4 linked regions of the Drosophila melanogaster genome follow. The gene in region 3 interacts genetically with the main gene of each other region. Each region holds a gene or a part of one and is shown on either strand. Other genes may lie near its edges.

Region 1 (5,134 bases), on a different chromosome or scaffold from region 3:
CGATGAGCGGCGCAAACATACACGAGCAGGCGTCCGATATGATACTGCGGGCCTCGACGATTTTCGAGGACGTCAAGCACGACGAGGCGAATGTGGAGAATGTGCCCCATCACGGAGTTGAGACTGAGCCTGAGGACGACTCGCACTACGGCGGGAACGGCAACTCTAAGATCCGCATAATGCCCAGTGTGAAGCTAATGGCCACGACGCTCGCCTCCGATCCCAAGCGCAAGTTCGTCTGCCCGTATGACAACTGTACAAAGAGCTACGGCAAGAGCTCCCACCTGCGGTCCCACCTCACCTGGCACACGGGCATCAAGCCCTTCGTCTGCAGCGAGCCCAAGTGCGGCAAGGGATTCACGCGCTCCGATGAGCTCAACCGGCACCTCCGGACGCACACCGGCGAGAAGCCCTTCGAGTGCATCCAGTGCACCAAGAAGTTTTCCCGCAGCGACCACCTCACCAAGCACCTAGCTACCCACGACCGCCAGCTAAAGGGCAGCACCCCGAAGCGAACAGTACCGAGCAGCAGTGGTGGAGTCCGGCTCAAGCCCCCGAAGAAGCAGATTCATTCGGAGTCGGACTCGGGCTTCCACTTCATGGCCGCCATGGTTGGTTGCGGGGAGCCGAGCATGAAGCACCACCACCAGCAGCAGCAGCATAACCAGCACCAGCAGCCCGTGAGCATTATCGACATCCACCACAAGCCGATAAAGATTAAGCTGGAACGGCCGGAGCACAGCGACAAGTACCAGATCGTATCTCCTGAACACCAGATGGATAACCATGGCCACAACCAGAGCCAGTTGCCCGATTTCCTTAACCAGGCGAAGCCCGAGGTAAAATACGAACCGACCGAAGAAATTGTAAATACCCTCTCTCAGCTACCGCCGGCGGACGGACCCGGCACGTATGGGATGCCCCAGTTCGTTCAGGATCGGCCTTTCTACTGCCGGCAGTGTGAGAAGCGGTTCAAGCGGCAGGACGACCTCAACCGACACATACGAACGCACACCGGGGAGAAGCCCTACGCCTGTCAGCAGTGCTGTCGCCGGTTTGTGCGGAGCGACCACTTGAAAAAGCATCAGCAGACGCATTTGAAGATACGATAGTTTCATAGTTACTCCTTACTCCTTAAGTCGCTAGCCATTGGCATCCGCATCCAATCGATATTGGCTACCACACGGGCGTGTGTCGGGTGACGCACACAGTACAATAAAATTAAATAAATTCGCAATCTAACTATATTCCTATGCAAGATCAGCGCCGGCTCTCAAATCTCAATTTGTATGTATGTATGTAAATAAGTCGTATGCAATTTAATTTTAGCTCTAACTGTTTGTGTTTGCCGGAACGTGAAGACATACATCTGTATTTCTGAAACTCTTGCTGTTTCTTATTTTCTGGCTACTAAGCTCCCCGTATCTATTAATATAATTTATTTTAGTAAAACTGTTATTTATATTTATGGGCTAATTGATGGGGAACTGATAGTTCATCAGGATCAGGACTCGATCCAGTTTGAAATTTGGAATATGATTAATAATGGCCTATAAGAATGAATAATAGATATATGTATAATTTCTGATAAATCAAAGATTCATCGACTATCGGTTCGGTTGATAGAATCGACTTATCGATAACAGCATTATCATCACCATTGGCGTTTGATTCAGAGTTTCAAGCAATGTTTTGCACTGTTTAAAATAATTACACACAAGCGATGTGCGACTTTGACGCTTTGTGGGCGGATGTACTGAGAATCTTTCCGGTTTTGGGTGGAGCGGTAGGTTTATTCCTTCGGTTCAGTAATAGGGATTGGCGCTAGCACTCAGAAACTCTTACAGAACGCTGTATCCAATGATCCGGTTGAGGAGAATGTATTCCAAAATGTTCGCCAGCACCTGATGGTGTTGGGCAGCATAGACACCTTCGCGGCGGTTGTGGACCTGGAAATCCAGTCGACTATTCGGAATGTCCTGGTGCCCAAGTTCTGGAAGCACATCCACGACGGCTTGGTCTCGTCTAAATTGCAGGGCTGGATTAACGACCAAGCTCTGGCCATAGAAGCACTGCCCGATAAGAACGGACTGTTCACCCAGTTCATCGACGCCATCAATGAGCTGCATGACAGCTTTCAGAGCCTGATGCAGGTGAAGCCCAGGCTGATCCAGCTAGTTGGAGCTGAGACAAAGCCCACCGCAAAGACGGTGAAGCTCATGCAGGAGGAAGGCATTAAGAACTGCTTAAGGGACTGCTTGCTGGCTCAACTGCCACCCAATTTCAGTGTGGTCGTTGGGGCCTTCTACTGGGTGCACTTTAAGCTCTTCACCAAGGCCTCAAATCTCGCATTGACCACAGTTGGTATGTATCCGATACATACTCCTGTGGTTCCCATGCTCACTTGCTTTCCCCTTCAGACTCTGATGTTTTCGATGAGCTCCTCTGCGTTGGCTGCAACTTCGAAGCAGAGCAATGCTGCTGCCAAAGGCTGACGGATATGGTTAACAAGACAAACATGAAGCTCTTCGAGATGAACCTCATTGACCGTCTAACTGGGAGTGCTTTAACCGCTCTCATCAAGCTTAAAATCAAGGAGCACATCAGCGATACATGCATGGGAATCTTCGACAGAAGTCATCTTAAGCAACTGGAAACTGTAAGTTGAATGGGAATACCTTCTGTTGTCATAAATAAACTACTTAAGTAACTCATTTATTACCTACCTTTGCAGTGGCTATCGGATGTCATAATGTCCTGGCTCACAAACATATTCACGGAATGGAAGTCTAAGGATAGCATAAGCGATATCGAAGTTCCCGAGTCTGTAAAATCCTTCAAAGTCAAACTGACTTACTTTATGTACGAAACGTTTGCCCAAAGCGTTATTGGTCAGTTCTTCAGCATTATAATTGGTATGTGCCCGTAGATTCAGCCAAGAGTCCCCCAACTACATGTATTTATTTGTAAACAGACTATCCCGATTCCATTCCGGCTATAGATGACTTAAAGATTTGCATGGAGAAAATAGATATGCGAGTCTACCTCACTGAATCCCTTAGGAACTCGCTAGAGGCAAGGATTCTGCATCCTGGAGTCAACACCATGGACATATTAACGGGTTACGTGGCAGCCATCAAAGCTATTCGCCATCTGGATAGTACCGGAGTCATCTTAGAGATGGTAACTGCTCCAATCAAAGATTACCTGCGGAAACGAAACGACACAGTGCGACGCGTAGTCACTGGGTTGACTGAAGAGGGGCCCACGGACTTATCCGAGGAACTCGCCAAGGGAGAAACAATTAAGGAATGCAAGGACTCGGGTACCGATGAGTTCAGCAACTGGGAAAATTGGCAACCCGATCCGTTTGGTATAGATGCCAGCATTATGCAGTACAACAGCTCGCGGAAGATGAGATCGGCCGACATTATATCGATGGTTGTAGACATATACGGCAGTAAGGAGTTGTTTATGACAGAGTATCGCAATCTAATGGCGGACAGACTGCTGGCCCAGTTAGATTTTAATTCCGAAAAAGAAATTCGAAATCTGGAACTGCTGAAAATCCGCTTTGGCGAATCGCTGCTGCACAGCTGCGAGGTGATGTTGAAAGACGTAACCGACTCCAAGCGAATTAACGCGCACATCCACAGCGATGGCGACCGAACTGAAAGTGAGTTACTTTTAATTTTCAAAATGCTTTAACGAAACCATCTCATTTTAGATCAGTTGTTCGACATCTCCTCGCTGATTGTTTCTGCTCAGTTTTGGCCGTCCTTCAATAAAGAAAGCCTCCAACTTCCTGAGGAGATTGAGAATGAGTTCAAGAAGTACACCAAGGCCTACGAGGCATACAAGGGCAACCGTACGCTCAACTGGCGTACAGTGACTGGCCGTGTAAATATTGAAATCGAGATCGGTGACCGGACCATGGAAATGGTTGTGAGCCCCATTTTGGCGGTTATTATATACCACTTTCAAACTAAGAGTACGTGTTTACAGGGCAGTCAAGTTTTACAGTTTTACAACCGCATGGTCATATTTTTTTTTCAGATGAATGGACTATCGAGGATCTTAGTTCCATTACGAAAGTTCCAGCGTCTGCACTGCGGCGTCGTCTGAGTTTTTGGCAAAACCACGGATTGATCTCGGAAACGACACCCGGAATATTCACGCTGCTGGAAAAGGAATCGGAGAAGTCTCAGTACGAGGACATGAGTCTGGCAGAAGCTGACGAAGAGGATTTGGAATCCGCAATGGCTTCTGCCAGCGATCAAAGGGAAGAAGAACTCCAAGTAAGTGCCTTCAACTGTTCCTAATTCCGGCTTTTTCTTATACAATTATGCCGCAGGTTTTTTGGTCCTATATTGTTGGAATGCTCACGAATCTTGACTCCATGCCAATTGACCGAATCCACCAGATGCTGAAGCTGTTCGCCTCCCACAGCGGCGGAGTGGAGTTTACTCAGGATGAGCTGAAACACTTTCTCCAGCGAAAAGTCAGGGAGCACAAGCTAATATTCTCGGGTGGAGTTTACCAATTGGCCAAATAAGTTTCGGAGATCCAAAACCAAGTTGCAAACGACTGAAGGAATCATGAAATAAATAATGAATTAACGCGATAACATTTATGAAATTTACTGCTCCATGTTAAACGTACCTATTTTTTCAAACTGCCGTCTTATCTGTTTCTATTCAGAGCTTATCTCTCACCCACGTACACACAAAGTCTTTACCCAAACTTGTTTGGCTTGGGAATTTGGAACACAATGCAAGCAATCTTATGTGAAAAGAAGAACACACAGTAAAATACGTCTATTGCTTAATTTATTTCAAGTTATATTAAGGTATATGCTAATCCCGTTATCAACAAATTCAAACTTCTTAGGGCTCTAAAACTAAAGGCGAAGAAAAGTGTACGTGGTTTTGATATACTTTACAGGTTAAACAGTTTTTGGCTTCATAAAATCAATCACGAACGCAGTGGCTAAATCGATCACTTTATACACGCAAACAACTTGGAATTTAATGCTGTAATCGTTCTAAACTGTAATCTGTACATCAAAAGTTACTTCAGGTATGCGGACCAGCTAGTCCTCGTGCAAGAATCGAGCTTGGTAGACACGATCTCG
Region 2 (7,626 bases), on a different chromosome or scaffold from region 3:
TGTCGTCGAATGGATTCGAGGCAATAATGGTGTCTCCGAAGCCTCCCATTGGCGGAGGGGGCAGCAAATCCTGCGGTGTGGGTGGCGCCTGCTGCTGCTGCATGGAATTCGCAGCAGCTGCTGCAGCCGCCGCCGCAGCCACCGCTGCAGCGGAGTTGGCGGCACTTGAGGTTTTTCGCCGCTTCTTCGGATTGCTCGGCGCCGAGATGATGTCCGTGGGAGGCGGCGGCTTAAAATCGGGCGGACAGAGTCCGCCCGCTGGACCCGGCAATCGATATGGCGCCATACCAAGATTGTGGGTCATATTCGAGGTGTTCTTCTTCCGAATGGTGGCAGCTTTTCTTCAACGGCGTGGGGCAAGAAATTCGGTTGTAGCGGCGTCGCCAATCCCGCGCAGGAGATCTCGACGCTGGTAAAGGAGTGGGTTTGGTTCTGATGTCCCTAGGGAGGTGGGCACAAATCCACTGGATCCTTCGGTGACCAACTACAATGGGTTATGCTTGGTGGGCTTGGGCTTTCTGCCGGTTATCCGGCCTGCGACCGCCTGGAGTTTGAGTTCCTGGGAGTGTGAAGGGTGCCAAATGAGTATCTGGCATCCTGTGGGTCAGTCCTCCTCAACTACTCACCAAGACATCTCCTGGCCAGGACCCTTATGAAAATCGCGTTTTTAAAGCAACTGACTCCCAAAACGCAGGTAAACACTTTCGGCGCAACGAACGGCAACCCCGCTTATTTTTCGGGTTGGCAACTCTACCCTGGAAACCCAGCGTCGTGTTGTCTCGTTTCAAAGCGCCAAGCACCTGCCGCTTCTCAGTTTCTTACTGATCCTTGATCACTTCAGGTCAGGAGTTCGTTTTTTTAGCACTCTGCACTGCGGTTTGCCACTAATTCCCCTTCATAAACCCTTCAAAGGGCGCTTTCTGGCAGCGCTCTTCTTCTTGCCAGCGATTTTATGTCCTCCGCTGCGCTTCCCGTTCCGTTTTAATTGCAGTGCAGCGCTTAACTGTTGTTTATTTACGGGTTCTTTTTGCGTTTGTCTTTAATCGGAAAACAAAACAACCGGCGGTTATTTCCCAAGGAAATTGTGTTAGGGTTTACGCGATTTGTGAAGCCTGCGTTTTCGGTTGGCTTTTTGTTGATTTGATGGCCACTGCAGCATCCACTTTTAATTAGCGCCGTTTATAGGAGCGGCACACGCACGGATTACCGTTACGCGGATTCGGCGGTCCGGCGGACTGACCACTGAACCGTTATATAGCAGCAGCACATTAACCTTTGTTTATTTTGACCAATTTTTGCGTGCGAAGAAGCGAAATATAAATAATTTTCATTGCAAGTCCGCCAGTGTGACCGTTTGCGCACGTCAAGAGAAATGCCGGAATTCCGTCGGCGGCTCAGTGTGGCCAAAGCAAGCCAGCACGAAGTAGTTTGCAACTACGTTAACATTTAAAAAGTAATAGGTTTAAAGGAGAAATTACGATTTGGACATACGTCATTTAAGTAATAAATATAAATTGCGTAAACGTATTAGCCCCAAGGTCAATACGTAGTGTGTCTTCATGCCGCCAATCGTCTATCGATATGCGGGTAATGTTATCGGCAAACTCTCAGGCGACGCTTGTTTATTGGCGGTGTTTAAATAAAGAGTTTAAAATTGGCAGGTTTTGCACATTAGGCTAGAGCGGATTGAACAGCAATGTGGAGCAACTTCGAGGCGTCCTCCCTGGAGGACGAAACCATCTCCAACATATTTTCGTCGCGAGGCATCTTCCAAATAAGCAGTGAAGAGGAAGTGAGTCCTTATTGTGCAGAATCTGCAGTTGGGTTTCTACGCTCGCCTTCTTTCATTGTCAGGTAAACAAATATCCAGATGTCATGGCCTCCGTGCAGTGCGGCAAGATGGTCATTGGCATCGACAAGAGCCTTTTGCTCCTGGAGGACGAACTGGTGGCCAAGTGCAGCTTTCTGGCATTCGGGGCAGCCATTGAGGCCATTGCCATTTCTTCAAGCGGCAACCTGATTGTATGCGGCCTCAGCGATGGCGAAGTTCACGGAGTGTTCATCAAGGGCCTGCTCCTGTTCAGCGTGGCCGTCAATCTGGAGGACGTGAGCCTAACTGGCGGGACCTTCCGGAGCATCCATCAACTGGATCAGCGGTTTTACTTCACCTGTAAGAATGGAAGCATCTATAGGTAAGCCATTCACAGAGATGGGCTCTGGCATATGCGTGATAAAACTGGATCTTGACATTATTTCATTAAACGATTCAAACGCTGTGTAGCTTAAGCGACATTGATGAGACCTGCTTGGAAACGTTAGGCAATATGAGCCTGAATGAAAACGAAACTATAGCTTGCGAAAAGGCCCTGCTCGAGGACGTCACCATTCAACGTCTTTCCAAGGGCAGATCCTCGTGCAGCGTGGACTGTGCAGTGCTGCTCAAGCGGCTGCTGACCGGCAACATCAGTGCCGAGAACAATCAGGATGATCTGGAGGCGCAACCCGGTCTAGTTATCACTGGAGATCAAAGCACTATGAACTTTAGGAATGCAGCCAATGACGTGACACGAATAAATTTGCCCGCTCAGTACGGCAGCCTAAAGCAGATCTTCAACTTGGAACACTATATGTGAGTGGGTTTGCTTATTGTGGTGCTAGAATCCCTCTAACGTGTATCTGGGTTTTGCAGTATCGCACTCACCGATTCCGGCCACTTGGTGGAGATTTGTCCATACACTCGCACAGTGTACATGTGTCAAACTACCCAACAAAAAAATCTGCTCATCGAGGATCTGCTGGTTATGGAGTGCAGCGAAGATAACATTGAGCTTCTGGTGCTGACGAAATCAACGGCGGAGGGACGCTTCATTAAGATAGTGGAGTACCCAAGTATGAGTCCAGCAAACATAAAACATAAACATACAGTAAGGCTAAAAACCTTGTGTCATTGCAGCGCTCAATGTGAAGAACGAGGTAGAAGTTCCTGATCACGCATGGCTTGTGCGTCAGCCTAAGTGTGCGGTCAATCTGTATTATCTGGCTGCCAAGGAAGTCAACCAGAGCAGCATACCCTCCGTGGTGGAGATGATGCTCGTTTCCGAGACCGACCCCAGTGATCGTTTTAAGAAGCTGATTTGCAAGGGGCGACTGGAGGAGGCTGAGGTATTGAGTATAATTGATCTCTTAGTCATTCATTATCCATTAACATTTGCAACAGGAATTTGGCAAGCAGTTTGAGCTGTGCCTCCAGCCCATCTATGAAGCCAAAGCGAAACGCATTTTGGTCGAGCTTTGCAACTCGAATTCACAAAACGTGGACACTAAATTCCAAGACTTGCTGCAACTGCTGTCTCAGGTGGAAAGTAAGGCATTCATAAAGAGCCATCGCATGATCAACTTGAACTCGAGGCACATCCTTGAGCGGTATCTTCACGAGGTCAAGAAGCGGTTGACTTTTGAGGACGACGAGGAGGATATGTTGGAAATCGACGAGCAACTGCACCGACTTAAAACTCTGGCCATAATAGATCCCTACGAATGCAACACGGATTGGCAGAAGTTTATTTACGATAACAACTTGGTCAGGATGGTCAAGTCGCTATTCAACACAGATATGCCCACGGCTTGTCTCATTTGGCGGCGGCATTCGAGCAGCATTCTGCCGCTGCTAAACGAAGATGAGTTGCGCACGCTTTTAGGGTTCATTCCGAGCAACACCAAGCCCTTCAACGTTGTCCAGTGGTTGCGTCAGTTCATTCCGATGGTCAGCAACACCCATCCTAGCATAATGCCCTTTATCACTGACTGGAGTATTGAGATGACGCGGAATCTGCAGTATAGTCCGCATTGGCCGGATATCGGCCTGGAGTTCTGCACAAAGATACTGGACATTTTTGAGGAAATCCAGTTTACTTACTCGTAGGCAAATCCTTTTTTCGCCCTAAAATATGATAGATTTAACTTGTATATCCGTTTCAGCGATGTGCGGCGTCAGCAAGAGCGCAACGTTGGAAAACTGCGGGATCTTGTCAACGCACTGCAGGATCTTTCTGTGCTTAAGACCAACTATAACATGGGCTTTACACTGGACAACTACATGCAGGATTCCATCGACGCCACTGCGTTGAGCATTTTGCAACACGTTCAACTAGATAAGCTTCAGCGTCTGGTGAAGAACTTCATGTACCCGATCTTCCAGGAGAAGGGACGGCAGCCACTGGACGTGATTAAACAGTACATATCACAGTTAGTAGCCAGTCGGCTATCTTCTAGTTCATGGCTGGATCGGGCGATGGCTTGCATTGAGCTGCTTCACAACGAAGACAGCCGTTTGGAGTGCGCCTTGTCTGTGCTGCAAAACGCACCTGTGCCCTGGCCTGATACACTAGCTCCTCTAATCCGGCTGCGTGCCTCCACTCATCCATTGGCCGTGAAGATCAATGCCGAGTATGAGATTCAGGTGATTAAGATCATGAAGGTCAAGTACGGCTGGCCGGCCGACAGCTCCGATATCAACCTGGAGCTTTTCATGATGCGCATTGTGAAGTTGAACCTTCCGGACATGCTGGACGACATCAGCGCCCTCACCAAGGCGGCGCCGGAGTTATCAACTAGTGCCAACTTTAACTGCTGCTATCAAATGGCACGGAGAGGACAAGTTGAGATGGCTTATGAATTCTTCAAAAAGCTGAATGGTGAGAAAAATTCGAAGAGCGCGAAGGAAGTGGTGGAGATCATGGCTAACATCTTGGAGAACAGCTCCTCTGCTTCGTTTGAAAGTGATATTAAAGTGCAGGAGCACCTGAACGTCCTTGAGCTTTTTAAGTTGTTCTTGCCGCATGTTGAGTCCGTTTATGAGCGCCGCTACCTAGTGATCAAGCATCGTTTCCGCCTAAGGAAATTCGGCATCCTTTTGAGCTGCAGCAGCGAGCTGATACCGCTGCACAGACGTCATTGCCTTCTGGATGAGGCCATTGAAAGGATAATTGAGCGGGCCCAGGCCACGCTGAATGTGTCCGCATTCATAGCCAGCGAAATAAGCGAACTGTGTACCGCTCTCGGTCTTCCGAAAGTATTTGGTTTGCACCGCATTTGCCAACGCATTGGATGCCTGCCCCTCAGCTGCGCCCTCGCTTATCATGTTGTAAGCTTCGTCGACTGTGTGCCCGCCAATGCAGGCGAGTTCGTCAATCTTGCACTTGAGCTGCTGGTTCAGCAAATTGAAAGCGCCAAGGGAAAGAATCAGGGTAAGTCGTATACAGCTATGCAACAATGGGATTGAACGAAAAATCCATTTATGTTTTGCAGAAACGGCCTCCTCCCTGCAGTTGATCAATGAAAACGATCCGCTTAGCTTTTATTTAGCGTACGAGTTGCTCACCTCCGCCCTGCTCCACGAGAGCAGCCGTCGTCACGATCTAGTTGAACTCATCAAATACATACGCGTGGCCGTAATCCACTACCCGCTAGACGCCATTAAGAGTCACTACGACGGCAAGGAGCAGGCCGTCAACGAGCACATCTGCCGGGCCCTCGATGGGATTTCGGTAGCCCTGGGCGAAACCACAATAAACTTCAGTTGTGCTCTTAACGGATCCTTTGACGTGAAGACTCTGACGGTTCCAACGACTACGAAGAAGCGCTACTCGGTGTCCATGTTTGATGAAGTAGAAGTGCAGCCTATCCAGCAGCAGCCTCAGAAGGTATTGATCGTAGACAGCTATAATTGACTATAGTTATAATGCTTTCTGTTGTCTTCGAAGAAAAGCGTCGGAGGTCGCATGGCAATAGTGAAGTTCTTGGCTCGCACTCTGTTGCTTATGGTAATCGAAACGGAGCCAAACAACTCATTGCTGATGCAGGTTCGCAATGAACTGCCGGAGAACACAAAAGCGGATGTCGAAAGTGCTTGCGCTGACTTCTTTCTGTCACTGGAGCACTTGACGAAGGTGAAGGAGCACGACGCTTGGTACGTTATGTCGCAATATCTGCTGGATTTCCAGAAGCAAAACTGTCGCACGAAGCGGATCATCAACGAGGGCTTTATTACGCTGCAGCTGCGCCGCATATTCCGAAATGCGATGGGGAGCAAAGATGTGAACTTCATAGAGCTTTTCACCATGTTGGTGGTGGACAGCGAGGCACTAGCGCTGCTGGAGAAGCTCTCCGTTGAAGTAAAGACCGATCTGCAAAAAATCAACTTCCTGACACTATCCGCCATGTACCACGAGCATATCGAAGACTTGGACAGTGTGCACATGATACGCACCAAGTAAGTGAAGTATTACATTAAAAGTCTAGATGTTAAACTTCGTTTTATTGGTTTGCAGGAGATTGAAACTCTTCTATTACCTGGAGTTTTGCCAACAGGATCATAGAATAAAGGGCAAGTTCAATGCCGACATGGACAACATAGAGGACCTGCTTAAGGAGTTTCACAATAAGCAACTTGACGTTCAGCTTTTGGAACGCATGAGCAAGGACTTTGGGTTCGACTACCAAAAGATTCTTATTACCCAGATACTAAGCATATTGAGCGCCCAGGAGTTGCGCTTCGAGGTGAAGAGGGATACCTTCGGCGACGAGGAACTGGTTATGCTAAGCAGCGCCCAGGAAATGCGCGATATGTGCCAACCGTACATTAATGAAATCAATAATGTCGAGCTCTTTACTTCCAAGTTAAAACACTTTATTGAAGACGTAAGCTCACTGATGCCACAAATAATCTTTTTTTTAATATCTTTGCAAATCGTTTAGATCAACATTTACTTCTACGAGTTGTACATGTGTGTGATCAACATCCTAATGTACTTCGATTCGGCTCCGAAGGAAATGGAAATCTGGATGAACATTTTGCACTTCCTGAGACACAAGATGATCACCAGAAGACGCAATCGGCCAGGTCAGGTGGAAACCGACACGTGGCTGAAATCACAAAGGGAAAATGGCGTTATGCCGAAGATATCTCGATATCGTCTGCCTTTTAAGCCCATCGTAGAGCAACCTCTTAAGGATATTCTTGGTATATTCAACTGAAATAGTTTAATGCTTAATGCTTCTGTTTAATTATAGTTTCCGCTTCTTCTATTCAGACAGCGAACTAAACGTGGACAACTGCCAAAGCTGGTTTCCACTGATTCAGATGTACACGGCTTTGAAGGGATCCAAGGATAGTTCCCAGAACTGTGACTACTTCTGCATGTCAGCAGTAAAGAATTCGATATCGGAGTACAAGTCGAAAAATGATTCGGAATCATGGAGTCTTCATCCCACGAATAATGCCTTCCTGCAGTCAATACTACGACTGGTCGAGAAGGTGAACAACCCAAACAAGGCATTTCTAATACTGTACTTCGTGTCCAACTATGCTCGTGATGGAGCCGATCAGGTGGAGGCCTCCTACGAGTGCTGGAAGTTTGTCAAGGAGAAGGGCCACCTGATTACAGATCCAAAGAGTCGCGAGCAGGTTGCCAAGGTGAAGCGACGGTATCCTATTCAGAAGACCCAGCACCTGCTGTATGTCTATGGCCTGACCGATGAGAAGCTACTGCGCCAAGTTGAGAACCCCACCGAGCTTATTCAGGCGCTCTACCACCATGAGCTGATCCTCAAGTCCAGCAAAGTGGA
Region 3 (7,869 bases):
CTGGTGCCGCTTCATCAGCTCCGGGGGACTCAAATCCGTGCCTTTGGTGTCCAGGCAGCGACTGAGGAACTGCTTCACCATACGTTCGCTGGCAAACTGCTGCAGGTCGTTCATATCGATCTGCCAACAGATGCTCTGTTCCATCGTCAATGTTTGGGCCAGCATGCTCTTCAGCCTGTCCGGGTCCTCCAAGTGGGAAAGGCAGCCCGTTCGCTTCTTAATATCAATCGGTGCACTCATCTCCAGCGCCTTTTCCAGCTGATCCCAGTTGCGCGATCGCTCGAAGCACACTGGCCAATAGTTCTCGTCGTCCACCACCACCTGCTGCAGGGTGCTCAGCACTGGCAGGATGCAGGGAGCGATGGGCAGGCGGCGCAGCTCGGTGGCACCCACCTCCAACACGGATATGTTGGCCAGGCACAGCTTATTGGTGTCAATGTCCCGGGGAAGGAACAGGCGCGGTTCCACAGCCAGTACATAGAGATGTCTCAGCGCTTGCAGATGGTATCTTAAAATGTAAATCCATGCGGTGAAGTGTGCTAACACATTGCTGCAAATATATTAATCCTTACCGATTGTCGTTGCTGTGTATGGGAAACTTGGGGAAGAAGGCGCAGACCAGTGCAGCAATCGACTCCGGTGTCTGGGAAATGGTGAAGCGACCCGCGCCGAGGAATAGCAGGCCAAGCGACATGTGTATGGCCATGTGAGAGCCGTAGGTTATGTGCGGATATTGTGGTCCCACTCGCGACCTGAGAAACCGAATTATGCGAAGAATTTCGCAGTTGCCGGAGCCGGCGAACACCAACGAGATCGAGATGAGCAGCACCATCAGGCAGCTCTCCACAGTGGTGCGACCGGCACATTCGCCCATCGGCCTGCTGGGGAAGCGAAGGAAATCCTTTATCACCGACCGCAGCGTGGCAAAGGCCACCAGATTCTCAGTGCCGGCGTACTTGAGACCAATGCAGAAGGCAGCTCCAGCCATGATATTGCAATAGGCTTGCCTGGACAAGAGTATATAATTCGTATCTAATTACTTTGACATTCAACTTCAGTTACTCACGAGATGGCCTCGTAGTCCACGTCATAGTCCTCGGGTGCATACTCATTTTCGTAGAACGGGAGTTTTAGGTGAGCTCGGAGTGCTCGCGGAAACTGTGCCTGGAACCACGCGTTGTCCGGCCGGACATCCTGCCATAGGATGAGGCCCCGGGAAATTGTGCGCAGCAGAAGGAAGTCAGGCCGCACCATGTCCAGTAGATACCGCGAATCCGGCGGCTGCATCCATTCGGCAATAGCTGCGTTCCCCGAGTTGAAGAACATAAGTCCCAATGCGAGCGTTGCACCCGGAGCAGTGACATCTATGTTGACGGTATCGCCTTCACGAACTTGGAACGAGGCTAGTCGGTATTTCTCCTTCTGGGAACCGCCGATGGGTCTCTTCACTCCACCGACCATGTAGTAGTGCAGGGTATCCGGCAGTTGGAGGTCCCTTAGGCCCGCCGGCGATTCACCCTGACCGAGGGTAACCAATCCGAGGGATAGACCTGCTGTCATGGCATACGATTCGCGCTCAATGCTGTTCTCCATCTCAGGGCCTGGAGGACGGCCAATCTCCTGGAGCAGCACCTCGGCTATGTGGCGCTTAGCTGATCCTTGATAGAGCAAACCGACGCCCATTATAGCAGCCACCTGTGTGCTTTGCGGTATATCCAACTCCATGGCGGTGGCTGGCAGCAGTGCCTCCAAGTGAACGCTCAACAACTTTGTGGTTTTCGTATCCATGGTGCCGCGATGGGCAGCGGAAATGCCCAGCAGCAGACCAACGTTGGTCATCTCATCGCATTTAACCAAATACTTATAGACACTCATGAAGGACAGCGTCTTTAGGTGACCATTCAAGCCCAGGGCCATGAGGAAACCAGCGTGCTCCAGGGCATTATGCGAATGCGTTTTGGGCTTGTTGTAGACAATCCAATTGGAGTCTATGTCCTGAGCCTGGGGTGAGATCTTCAGGCCAGTGGCCACGCCATTGTGAAACGATGGCCACATTTGCATATTCGCTGGGAATTCGATCTGCTGCATTTCGATGGTGGTGCCCTTCAGCGGCTCCTTGCCCAACAGGCACAATTTGGGCATGGTCAAGCTTTCGCTGGGCCGCGGCAACATCGTTCTCAGGGTGAACATACCTCTGCCCACGGGCAGTGTCATTGTGCGCGAACATAGTGCAAACAGTTGCTTCTCCTGCTCCTCAATGAATTCGTGATCGCTGGTTCCCGGTGCCTGTTGCACTTCAATGACCACCGGTTCCGAGCTGTTAAGCAGACGGCGCACTTCATCCACCCGCATGTCATCGGGAAAACGCAGACGCAGTAGTTTTGTGTCCATGTTGTCCATGTCGTCGCGGCGCAATTGGGCCGGTGAATCAGTTTCTGATCCCCCGGTCGGCGGACACCTCGCTGACAGTGAATCTTCCTTGTAGACCCGGCCACAATGCGGTTGCCCAGTGCTCGTTTCGAGGAACGGCAGTTGAGCGTGGGCCGCCAATTCTGGACGCAGGATAAGTTCATAGGTGGCCATGCTGCAGCCCATGGGCGGCGAGAGGCGAGCCTCCTCCAGTGCCTCCGCTACAATCAGATGCACTGCCGCCGGGAATCTTTCAATGTCTCGCCGTGTCAAGCGCATGGCCAGAAGTAGCTGTAACATCTGATGGCTACGCGGAGCATCCGCCGTGATATTACGCTTAGAGCGCCGCGTAAAGTTGGCCTGAACGGCGCCGGGGATCTCAAGCAGCTGCCACCAGTAATTCAGACGCTCATGCCCATGAGTCACCAGCGATACGAGCTGCAGTAAAATGCGACTTCTCTCGTTAACGCACTCCAAGAAGGTGTAAGGCATCACCTCCTCCTCGCCGACAATAATGTGCTCGAGTTGGGCAAACACACTGGGTGCCGGAACCCTCAGAAGCTCCTGGTGCAGCATCATAGCTCCGTGCTCAGCTCCCAGCAACGAGAGCTTGCCCGTACGATTCGAGAGTTCCGGAAAGTCTAGTATGTAGTGCAGCACATAACTTTCCAGCTGCATATCGATGGCCAGCTGGTGTAGGAACTGGAACGAGGAGATGGTGTTAGAAAACCACTAATGGATCTATTAAATGATTCACCTACCGTTGCCAGATATGGAAGCGCTCCATAAAAGTCAGCGTCCAGTTTGAGATCCTCGTACAGTAAATGCAGGCTGAAGAAGATGGCGGGAATCATTCGGAAGAGCAGCGCACCGATGTTCACGCTGTAGCTGTGGCCATCGGCTCCGCAGGGAGCCAGTGTCGTCTGGAGCAGCAGGAACTCCCAGTCGTCGTCCGTGAAATCATCGCAATCATTGTATATTCGCCGTTTCTTCGGCTCATCCTGGCCACCCAGTGTAGAATTGGAACTGCAACTAGAACCGTCACTCGATTCCGTCGCAGTAGCGCCGCCTCCAAATTGAGTGTGCAGCGGTGGCGTGGCACATCTAGCGTAGTTCTCGCCCGCATCCACATCCGGTGCAGCAGTCAGACCCATTAGGGCGAGCAGTGTGGAGCGGAATAGCAGCCATTCCTGCTCTATGGAGTAATTCCTCGATCCCGGCGGATTCCTGTCGCTATACCAACGGATAACAAAGTCCAGGAACTGGGTCGGACTTAGAACCTGCCGTAGCGTAGCCACACATCTGGTGAGCAATCGTGTATCATTTAGAAATGGCAGCGCTATTCTGAGCATTCTGCCCGTGGCATAAACCAAAGTCAATCGATTTCCCGCCGGATCTCTCAGGGATTTGCAGACATTGTGCGCCTGCCGCTGTGTGTAGGACACCGGCTGCGGTTGGATGGGCGACAGCATGTGCAGCTCCTCTTCGAAGGCAGCCACATCCCCCGGCGCTTTTGTGGGCAGTAGGCTGCTCCTTCGCACCTCCACGAAAGAACTGCTGCCGGACGGAATGCCGCTTGCTGGTCCAGCAGCTGCCATTGGTGTTTTAACGTGAGACGGAGCGGGCGAAGCCGACGGAGATGGGGCAGCAGTCATGGGCGTTACCAGCGGTGTGGGAATGGAGGTAGGCGCCAAAAACGGCGTAATGTGCACCTTGGATATGAGCACGGTGCCTGTGTATAGAAGTAAGCTGCCACTCGGATCGAGAACGGCAATCATGTGCATTCTCTTCAGACCCACTGCATCTTTCGCGGCCAGCGTGGAGGCGTGCGTGGAGAGCTGCACCTCGCCCCTTCCATAGCCAGTGAGGCGGACCAACTGAAGGCGGCACGAGCGGGCCAGCAGGTAGCACAAAAAGGTCTGACCCACTAAATCCGTGTGGATAAATGCTCGGGTGGCCATCTCGCAGAACTCTCGTTGACTAAGGAAGACAGACAATTTTAGTACTGAAAGTGGCATCTTTGGTGGCATTTACTGACGTTCCGTAGATGTTCTCCGTCCAGATGTGCTCCATACACAATTCCGGCTCAATGGGTTTTGCCGGCTTCACGTGCGTTAACTTGCGCATATCCTTCACGGACATGGACTGCTGGCTAATACTGCTCTGCAGTTGGCTCAATGGAGTGCCTAGGGAGGCGCGACTAAACGGAAGAAGAGGCAATAATAAGTAAGTGATGGATGACAGCGACTTAAACGTACTTCGACTGTCCAAGAACTCCGCTGAACGACTGCGACTGGCTGAGTCCGAACTGGTTGCCCATGCCGGTGGTGGTGGTGTTGATATTCCTGGCCGCAAACGATAAGTTCGTTGCTTTTGGCGTGGCTAGCAATGGATAGACAGTGAATAAATCGTATGCCCTTGCTGGCATTGCTATCAACTCACCTCCAGTTTGCTTGGTGGAACTGAAACTATTGCCTGCCATCGACCTGGGTCCCATTAGCGTCTGTCCCAGCTCCATCTGCTGACTCACATAGTTGATCTCTTCGGGCGTTACCTTACGCAGGCGTGCAACGAAATGCTTAAAGAACTTGGCATCGTACAGCATCACCAAATCCGATTCCTCGGTGGTGAAGACCACAGTGTATTCCGGTTCGGTCATGTAGCCGGTGGAGCCGGTGGCCGTCTTCAGGACGACGGGACAGGCCTCGTGCAGCGGATGCGACATAGAGAAGAGACGCGGCATCGGAATGGACATGTGCGATATCAAGGCATTGCTGGAGTCCTTTTCCAGCAGCAGGCCATACTTGGTTTGCCACAGCTGTGACACGGGAAAGTCCAGATTGGCTAGAAAGTCCTCGCCGTTGCTGCAGTACACCCGCAGGGCGTCCTGATCCATCACACAGATGGCGGTCAAATGGTCGTCATCCGGGTGGACAGCCGCCTTCAGCTGCGCCAGTCGCCCGCGCACAAAACTGCGATTCAGGAAGCAGGCGAAGCGCACCGGCGTATCGGTGGTGAAACACATGCGCCGGTACACCCCATTGTCGGTATCGTCGTCATCGTTGACGCCTTGTGTCCACACCACCGTGTTCCGGTTCACATAGAGCTCCTCCTCGTTGTTAACCATATAGTCGCACATTGGCTCCACGCGCCGCACCAGCGGTGGATTGAGCAGTCTGTTCGGCAGCGAGGTGGCCTGGAGACCACATCGCTTTGTCCGCTCGGTCAACTTGCGTCGCAGGGCGGCGCGCTCCTCGGATGCCTCGTAGTCATCGTACAGCTCTCGGACTGTCCACGACTCCTGTCCGCCCGAAGGGCAGTCCTCACCGGCCGACGAGATGTTCACATTCTGGAGGCGCTGCAGCAGCAGATGCTCCGTGGTGGGCAGTTGGTGGCGCGCCATTGGCTGGTCATGTGGGCCCGGATGCTCCGCGGACGTCTGACGGCCGCGCGGCACAAACTCCAGCGGCGGTTCTGCGACGGCGATCATGTCCGCGTCGCCAGGTGCATCCAGAATTGCGATTGACAAGTTAATTGATTACAATTTATTATTAGCAAGGAATTTGCACAATTATTTAAAAACTGTCATCGAAATCGGGTGGCGATAAGTGCCTGATTCTATCGGGCCTGCAGTACTTCGATATGAGGAGAGCTATCAAAAGGCCGATAACGATAGGAAGACCAGAATCGCGACAAACAAAACAATTACCAGTATATGCCATAAAGTCATACCGAAAGAAATGCTAGAGAAATGGCTTTGCCTATTTTTAAAAATATAAAATATAACAGTTCGATTGCTTTTACTATCGATTACAATGCCGGTTGGTCACTTGTAGCAACCAGCTTTGGTCCGCTGGCGTACCGGTTATTTTCCCGGTCTGGCAGCACAGTGCGTTTGTTCGGCTTTTCCAATTGGATTTCGGAGTCTGGATTTTGATTTGAGCAGACAAACGGAACCGGAAATCCTGGCCAGAATTTGGCAATGAGCAGCGGCACCGCCGGCTGCAAGCGCGCGCACAGCATCGAGGTTGAGCAGCCGCTGACGTCGGAGCGCCTGGAGCACAGCCTGCTGTTGGTCAAGGGACGCCTGGTGCCCAAGTGTTCCACGGCGCGTCAACTGAAGGCGATCCTCGATCTGCCCGAGCACCTGTCCCAGGAGCAGCTCACCCAGCTGTCGGCCGGCGGCGAGTTTAAGCTCCTATTCGACTTGGAACAAGCGAATCGCGAGGAGGAGGAGGAGGAGAGCGCCTGCCTCCTGGAGTTGCGATCCTGCACGGCCACCCGAACGATTAGCTTCAGTTACCGGCCCCGCCGCAGCTCCTACCGGGTGCAGCCGCTCTACCTGCTCTGTCAGGACGAGGAGAAGACGCTGGCGCAGCAGCACGAGGTGCACTCCCTCATCGATCTTAATTTGCGGCTGGTGCAGTCCATCTACGCGCACAAACTGCACGCGGCGGGCTTTCCCAACCGCACCTTCACGCTCAACGGCAAGTGCTGCGCCTTCCGCAGCCAGTTGACCCGGAAACAGGCGCTGGCGAAGAGCGAGGACGAGCTGTGGCAGCATTTCGCCGGCGAGATTATCGCCTGTCCGCAGTGGGGCCACCAGTTGCTCCTCAAGTTCGTCGCCTTTGTGGGCTGCACGCGCTACGACGGCGACGCAGTGGTGGCCAGCGGTGACTCCTCGTACGCCAACATCCGGCGGCATCTCAAGGGACACGCAGCACTCGGTGGCGGCGGCTTGGCGCTCTTTGGTAGTGCCCACTTCTACGCGTGGCCCACGAGCTTCGCGGAGATCGGCGACTGTGTGCGCAGCGCCCAGCGGGTGGACATCGCCCGCCTGCCGGACGAGAGCAACTATCGGCGGACGTACGGCGGCGTCTATGCCAGCACCTTGGGCGCCGTGTGCCACGAACTGGGCCACTGCTTCGATCTGGGCCACACCAGCGAGGGTGTGATGGGCCAGGGCTTCGACTACTTGAATCGCGTGTTGACCGTGGACCAGCCCACGGAGCATTTGCCGCAGCGAATTGTGGACGCCCGCAGGGGCTCACTTGCCAATACTAATTCATCCGAGGGCGGATCATCCTCATCCAGCTCCACCTCCTCCTCCTCCTCGTCCGCCGGCAGTGGCGCCGCAACGGGCAACCGCGCCCGCCTCACCAAACTGAAATTGCAGCCAAGCAGCCAACTGCTGGACAACTACCACAACCAGCGACGCCACGATAGCTTCTATTTTGCACGCAACTGTGCCGTAATCCTGGCCCATCATCGCTGGCTGAATTTGGAGCTGGAGCAGACGGCTGCCGTCGACTTTGAGGCGGCCAGCATACAATTGAACCGCGACACGCGTGAGATTCGCTCCAGCAGGCCCATCCGACTGATCGAGCTGCGCTGCAACCAGAACAGCCTGGTGGCCCACTACGAGGAGTTCGAGGAGCCGTATGTGCACCGCTTCCAGCT
Region 4 (6,112 bases), on a different chromosome or scaffold from region 3:
AGATTTATCTGAAATAAATTAATAATTAAATTATAAATAAATTGCATTTCAATAGCTTTTAGAGGGATGTTGAAAATTTGCGCTTTTTGTATCTCTCACCTAGACATCTGATCGCTGGCCCCTCTTTGCGCTTCCTTCTAATTGCATTGCATTGTCTACCACACACAAACACACGCGCGCGAAAACTGGGACCGCCCAGCCTTTAACCCATGCCTGCCCACCGCACCACCCTTAACCCTTTTGGCAGTGATTTGCGAAAAGCGCGCGCGCACAAAAGTATCTCAAACGCTTTTTTCGCACACTTTGCAGGCATTTTAATGCACAGACGACCGAGAAAAAAATAAAATAAGAGCCGATGCTCAAAGCTCACTTCTTGGAATTTCGATTTACAATTTAGCTCTTCACTTTTTGCTGGTCCTGTGATTTTTTTTGTTCGTTATGCTGTTTTTGAGGTCCCCCGCTATTGTTGTGCCCCATTCCCATTTCCATTCACATTGTTGCTGCAATTTCTTTCTCCGCAGCCTATTCTCATTCTTTATCAAATTTACCCACTCACACACGCACACACACGTGTGTGAGTGTGCTTTTGCATACGCTTTTGATTCCGCTTCCTCCGCTTTGCCCTTTTTCTGGAGCCCGGCGATATCACGGTGGTATTATCTGAAATCCATAATTGCGAGGCTATAATTGGAATGAATAAAAGCATAAAAACTGGATAAGAATTTGGTAAGTAAAAATGAAAATAGCAGAACAACTCGAGCTAGAAACTACTTTTAAATAGTAGTAGTAAGTTCACAGATTTACCTCTAGTATATGTATTTTGCCACACTGTGCGCTCGGATCGCTATGAATGAGATTGGTTCTGAGCTTTTTCCTTCCCTATGCGCTTTTTTAACTTGTTCAAAACCACTTTATGATTTCTGCGTCCTTCTCGTCGTTTTGTGCTGGTTGTTTTCCATAAAGATGATCCTCTCGGCTCTTCCTGCAGCAACAACAAAAGCTGGCCAAAGGAATTCAGCGGAATGAAACCGTAGCTCATTTGGTTGGTGGCTTCGGCTGTGGTTGGTCCCGAAATCATTTACTTTCGCCTGCTCTTCAAGCGGTGTGAATGATATGGCCTGGTTGCACTGGCCTGTCCTTCATTTGTTTGCCGCGAACCTTACAAAAACACACTCGAACTGCACAGCACAGCCCATGGGTGTTCGCAAACCCCCAACCCTCCTTAGTGAACCCCTCGGATCCTCCAGAATGACTCCCGCAGGGCATCGGCGCATATGTAACTCGATTTTTGCTTTAACTTTGCCGCGATTGCACACAAACGAGGGGCTACAGTGGAGCTTCGGCGTGGGCAACTAGTCTGAGCTTCACATTATCGATTATTGGTCATATCGCATGGTTGACATCATGATTTTCCACGTGTTTGCTACTGTTAGTAGTAGTTTATCTAGCTTAAGATCTGTGTTTGTACGGATTCTCATTAAAGACACACGGTCCATCGTGTAGAGTGCTACCTGTGAATGGATCTCTGTGGCTGGAAGCTTTGCTCATTTAACGACATTGGCGTCTACGTCTGCAGAACACAAAGGAGCCACGCCCCCTCCACGACCGCCCATCCCGCCGGTGCGGCGATCATATGACTGCGGCCACTACCTGCTGATATGTAGTTTTCAGGGAGGGGTTACAAGGGGGGACAGGGGGCAGCAGGAATGCGTGGATCTCACATTATTACCTGCAAACGACACAATCGATGCCGCCTTGAAATTCTGCTTAAAGATTCGCGCAGTTCTTCAGCGTTTCCTCTTCGCTTCTTGGGGCTCCACACTATTTTCACATGTGTTCGGTTCGGAGCCTCCTCGGCTCCACTTCGGCTCCAATTGTGGCGACTTCGGATCCCCTTCGGCGGTACGCGTCGCGGTATAAAAGCTCGCGCGCCAAAATCAGTGGCCTCCATAGAGCTGGCGACCACCAAGGCGCCAGATTCTCCTCGTTTCTCGGGACATTGGTATTCGGTGCGGGATTTTGCGATAGGGGAAGTGCAGGGGAAAGGATTCTACCTGTTGCCGGCACTCTTGTGCTCCACATGAGCAGAGATTTCCAAAACTGAGTCCATATGATCCTGATTCTCCCATTTTCCCAGTTTTCCTTTTCGCATCGCACATGGCTCTGGCCCCGTCCCCGTTATGTGTGTTGGTGTCGCTCGTTGCCCGTCTCCCTTCCTCTTCTATTGGCACTTCTGGGAAGGATAGGAAGGAAAGGATAGGATGGGAAGGCAAAGGAAAGGAGCTGAGAACTAAGAGCTAAAGAGCGAAGCAGAGAGAACAAAAAACGCGCGCCATCTCGCTCGCGCCCATTAGCTCATCAGCTGATCGTGATCGGCCGGGGTGCGGTTATAAAAACCAGCTGCTCGGCATATTCAGCACATTCGTTCTCAGTTCGTCGTCGAGTCAACAGCTCTTCTTGTTCAGCCTTTCGGTTCCTCGTTCGGTGAATTGAGATTGTGCGGTTCAAATTATTGAAGAAAAAGAAAAACCTCGCACAACCACACTCCGAAATACAAAACAAAAAATCATGCTCAAACGGACACATTAACAAAAAAAAAAAACAAAAAAACCTAAATTAACTAAAATGCAATACTAGCCAAAAACCAAGGACTACCATCTCAAATTCTAAAAACAAACTGTAAATGAGTGCAGAGTGACCAAGAACAAATTGTGTTTTAGCAATTTCTTCGGCTTCAGACTCGCCAGCGAAATCAAACATCTTCGGCTCTTCGAAGCAACCAACGCAACACATAACACAACAAAACCAACAAAATGCTGTGGGAAACTATTGTGGAGGAAAACAACTGCAGCATGGATTGCAATATCAGGTAATTATGCCGCCCAAGGATTAGCAACAGCAAACCCCTTTTGCACCAGGAATACCAGTTGAAAATACGCGATAAAAAGTGCAAGTTCAAGAGCAACAGCAACAACAGCAAAGCAAAAAAAAAATACAAAAAACAGAAATGTAAACGATGGGGCCAACAAAAGTAAGAGTTCTTTTTATCACGCTCGGCACGTTTGCTTTTTGCCCGATTTTTATTTTGGCGCTCAGCTGTTGTTTTGTTGCTCGCTTGCCGTTTTTCATTCATTAAACCGGCTTCCGCGAGGCTCCAAAAAAAAGCAGCAGCAAAAAATGCTTTTTGTCCGTCGTCCGTCAGTCAGTCATTTTTTTTTTTTCGATTTTTGTTCCTTTTTTCCTCCGTGTTCTTTGCGGTTCTTTGTGGCGTGTTTTTGTTGTATTATCGCTGCGCTTGCGTGACGTGTGACCCAAAAGCAAAAGTCAAGCTGAAAAGCAGATGCATGCGAAAAGCAAAAGGGAATTCCATTTGGAGAACCGCTAATGCTTAAGTAGAATCAAGAAGAAGAAGATAAGGCGGTACGCAACGGTTCCCTCGCAATTTTAGGGAATTGTAAAAATTATCAAAAAAAAAAAAAATGGTATCAATGATATCGTGTGCGCAAGTCGAATCCCAAAAATTCCAGTTTTCGAAGCTGCATTAAAGTAAATTTCTAGTTCAGCTCCCTCTTCACCCAATTACAACAACCCCTCTCTGTATTTTCTCGGGTATTTTTGTTGTTTTTACACCACCAACGCCACCACCACCACCAGTTTGTCAGTATTTTTAGCTGGGTTTAATGACCCGCTCTTGCGAGAGTTTAGGGAAGCAAAAGCAGCTCTCTTCCTCGATGCCGAACAGTTGACTAATCCTCCCCCTCTCTTTGTTTGCTCTTGCAGTAATAACACCAGCAGTTCGAGTAGCATCAACAAAATGAGTGGATCTCGTCGTGCTCGCCGTTCCCTGGAACTGATGAGCATGGACCAGGAGGAGCTGTCGTTCTACGACGACGACGTTGTGCCCCAGGATCAGCAGCGATCGGCCAGTCCGGAGCTGATGGGTCTGCTCTCGCCGGAGGGCTCGCCCCAGCGCTTCCAGATCGTCCGCCAGCCGAAAATTCTGCCAGCTATGGGAGTATCAAGTGATCACACGCCGGCGCGCAGCTTCCGCATCTTCAACAGCCTGTCCTCCACATGCTCCATGGAGTCCTCCATGGACGATGAGTACATGGAGCTCTTCGAGATGGAGTCGCAGAGCCAACAGACCGCCCTGGGCTTCCCCAGTGGCCTAAACTCGCTGATCAGCGGCCAGATCAAGGAGCAGCCTGCTGCCAAATCGCCAGCGGGTCTGTCCATGCGCCGCCCTTCGGTCAGAAGGTGCCTCAGCATGACGGAGAGCAACACCAACAGCACCACCACCCCACCACCAAAGACCCCAGAGACTGCCCGGGATTGCTTCAAGCGCCCGGAACCGCCAGCATCGGCCAACTGCTCGCCCATCCAGAGCAAACGCCATCGCTGCGCCGCCGTTGAGAAGGAGAACTGCCCCGCACCCAGCCCACTCAGCCAGGTCACGATTAGCCACCCCCCTCCACTGAGGAAGTGCATGTCCCTGAACGACGCCGAGATCATGTCCGCCCTGGCCCGCTCCGAGAACCGCAACGAGCCCGAGCTAATCGGCGACTTCAGCAAAGCCTATGCCCTGCCCCTGATGGAGGGTCGTCATCGGGATCTGAAGAGCATCTCCAGCGAAACAGTGGCTCGCCTGCTTAAGGGCGAGTTCAGCGATAAGGTGGCCAGCTACCGCATCATCGACTGCCGCTACCCCTACGAATTCGAGGGCGGCCACATCGAGGGAGCCAAGAACCTGTACACCACCGAGCAGATCCTCGATGAGTTCCTCACCGTCCAACAGACTGAGCTGCAGCAGCAGCAGAACGCCGAATCGGGACACAAGCGCAACATCATTATCTTCCACTGCGAATTCTCCTCGGAGCGTGGACCGAAAATGTCCCGCTTCCTGCGTAATCTGGATCGCGAGAGGAATACCAACGCCTATCCGGCGTTGCACTATCCCGAGATCTATCTGCTGCACAACGGCTACAAGGAGTTCTTCGAGTCGCACGTTGAGCTGTGCGAACCACATGCCTACCGCACCATGCTGGATCCCGCCTACAACGAGGCCTATCGCCACTTTCGCGCCAAGTCCAAGTCCTGGAACGGCGATGGCCTGGGCGGTGCCACCGGGCGGCTAAAGAAGTCGCGCTCGCGACTGATGCTGTAGGTTGTGGGATGATCGTGCAGTTCGTTATCTAAGTTTGGGTGTTATCGTATTGTATATATAGACGTATAGGGGTATTTATTTCATGCTGCTTTTAAGTTGATTTTTGTTGATTTTCATTTGTTAATCCGTAGACTAAGTTTCTCGCACACGACGCAGACACACACCCGACACTCGCATTCATGCAAAACAGACAATTTCATTTGGAATTTAACGCTTTTGTTTAGTTATTATTGTTTTTATGGTTTCGGCTTTAGTTCAATTATTTAAGCACTCTAGTTCAAATTTTAAAGATAACCAACGAACAAGCAAACGAAAAATGTGCATTATAATCTAAAAACGTGAGGAACCATGTCATTTAAATTTAAGAGGCCGATCCCGAAATCAGACCCCTTAATCATTTGTAGATGATAAGCAGAACAAAAAATGGCTAAAAACAAAAAAAAAAAAAGAAAACAAATATCACACAAAAACAAACACGCTCATTAATTTCATCCATAAAACTTTATTTATAAGATCTATCGTTTAAGAGTTGAAAGTTGTAAACTTCTGCTAGGTACAATTTACGCTTATTATTTGTTTATTTTTATGTAATCCGTAACCGAACAACAAGGCACCGAAACGCAAATGCAAACAAGAAAACAAATATTTTACCATGTAATGATTATTATTTAAGCAAAGCTTATTTTTGCATCAAAAAAGGCAATATTATTGAACAAAGACCATCAATTTTAAATATACATTAATACACGACGAAAAAGAACTGAAATTCCTGGAATTTTTATCATTCAAATGGCGCCAAATGCGCATTATGTGCGGGATTTCGGTACTCTATGGGTTTTCACAGAATTAACAACTTGAAATTGGCGCGCAAAGCGAGTAGTTGCACTTTGTAAATGTCAGAGGGCGCTGTGTCCGTAAAAAATTGAGTATAACAGCGGCGACTTTTTG

What was found.
Region 1: of shtd (region 3) and mr, changing one suppresses a phenotype caused by changing the other (phenotypic suppression), as found in Drosophila melanogaster (one study listed by BioGRID).
Region 2: of shtd (region 3) and rod, changing one suppresses a phenotype caused by changing the other (phenotypic suppression), as found in Drosophila melanogaster (one study listed by BioGRID).
Region 4: of shtd (region 3) and stg, changing one suppresses a phenotype caused by changing the other (phenotypic suppression), as found in Drosophila melanogaster (one study listed by BioGRID).

Annotation. Positions count from the first base shown.
Region 1 is NT_033778.4:23,970,786-23,975,919, forward strand, and holds mr (morula), read left to right. Parts: upstream 1-1,645; 5' UTR 1,646-1,723; coding exon 1,724-1,786; intron 1,787-1,847; coding exon 1,848-2,364; intron 2,365-2,420; coding exon 2,421-2,659; intron 2,660-2,734; coding exon 2,735-2,915; intron 2,916-2,974; coding exon 2,975-3,676; intron 3,677-3,727; coding exon 3,728-3,991; intron 3,992-4,056; coding exon 4,057-4,298; intron 4,299-4,354; coding exon 4,355-4,555; 3' UTR 4,556-4,623; downstream 4,624-5,134. Other genes in the region: CG3065 (uncharacterized protein), read left to right, coding at 1-1,112; PPP1R15 (protein phosphatase 1 regulatory subunit 15), read right to left, coding at 5,093-5,134.
Region 2 is NT_033777.3:31,579,327-31,586,952, forward strand, and holds the start of rod (rough deal), read left to right. Parts: upstream 1-1,624; 5' UTR 1,625-1,696; coding exon 1,697-1,792; intron 1,793-1,854; coding exon 1,855-2,192; intron 2,193-2,281; coding exon 2,282-2,629; intron 2,630-2,689; coding exon 2,690-2,889; intron 2,890-2,953; coding exon 2,954-3,162; intron 3,163-3,217; coding exon 3,218-3,918; intron 3,919-3,978; coding exon 3,979-5,246; intron 5,247-5,307; coding exon 5,308-5,702; intron 5,703-5,762; coding exon 5,763-6,271; intron 6,272-6,329; coding exon 6,330-6,699; intron 6,700-6,756; coding exon 6,757-7,021; intron 7,022-7,091; coding exon 7,092-7,626. Other genes in the region: pygo (pygopus), read right to left, coding at 1-304.
Region 3 is NC_004354.4:15,456,437-15,464,305, forward strand, and holds the start of shtd (shattered), read right to left. Parts: upstream 6,006-7,869; 5' UTR 5,900-6,005; coding exon 4,852-5,899; intron 4,792-4,851; coding exon 4,668-4,791; intron 4,610-4,667; coding exon 4,448-4,609; intron 4,390-4,447; coding exon 3,171-4,389; intron 3,112-3,170; coding exon 1,067-3,111; intron 1,008-1,066; coding exon 573-1,007; intron 509-572; coding exon 1-508. Other genes in the region: CG6294 (uncharacterized protein), read left to right, coding at 6,392-7,869.
Region 4 is NT_033777.3:29,251,630-29,257,741, reverse strand, and holds stg (string), read left to right. Parts: upstream 1-1,941; 5' UTR 1,942-2,813; coding exon 2,814-2,869; intron 2,870-3,780; coding exon 3,781-5,164; 3' UTR 5,165-5,599; downstream 5,600-6,112. Other genes in the region: CG45544 (uncharacterized protein), read right to left, coding at 845-1,078. UniProt on the Drosophila melanogaster protein: This protein functions as a dosage-dependent inducer in mitotic control. It is a tyrosine protein phosphatase required for progression of the cell cycle. It may directly dephosphorylate Cdk1 and activate the Cdk1 activity.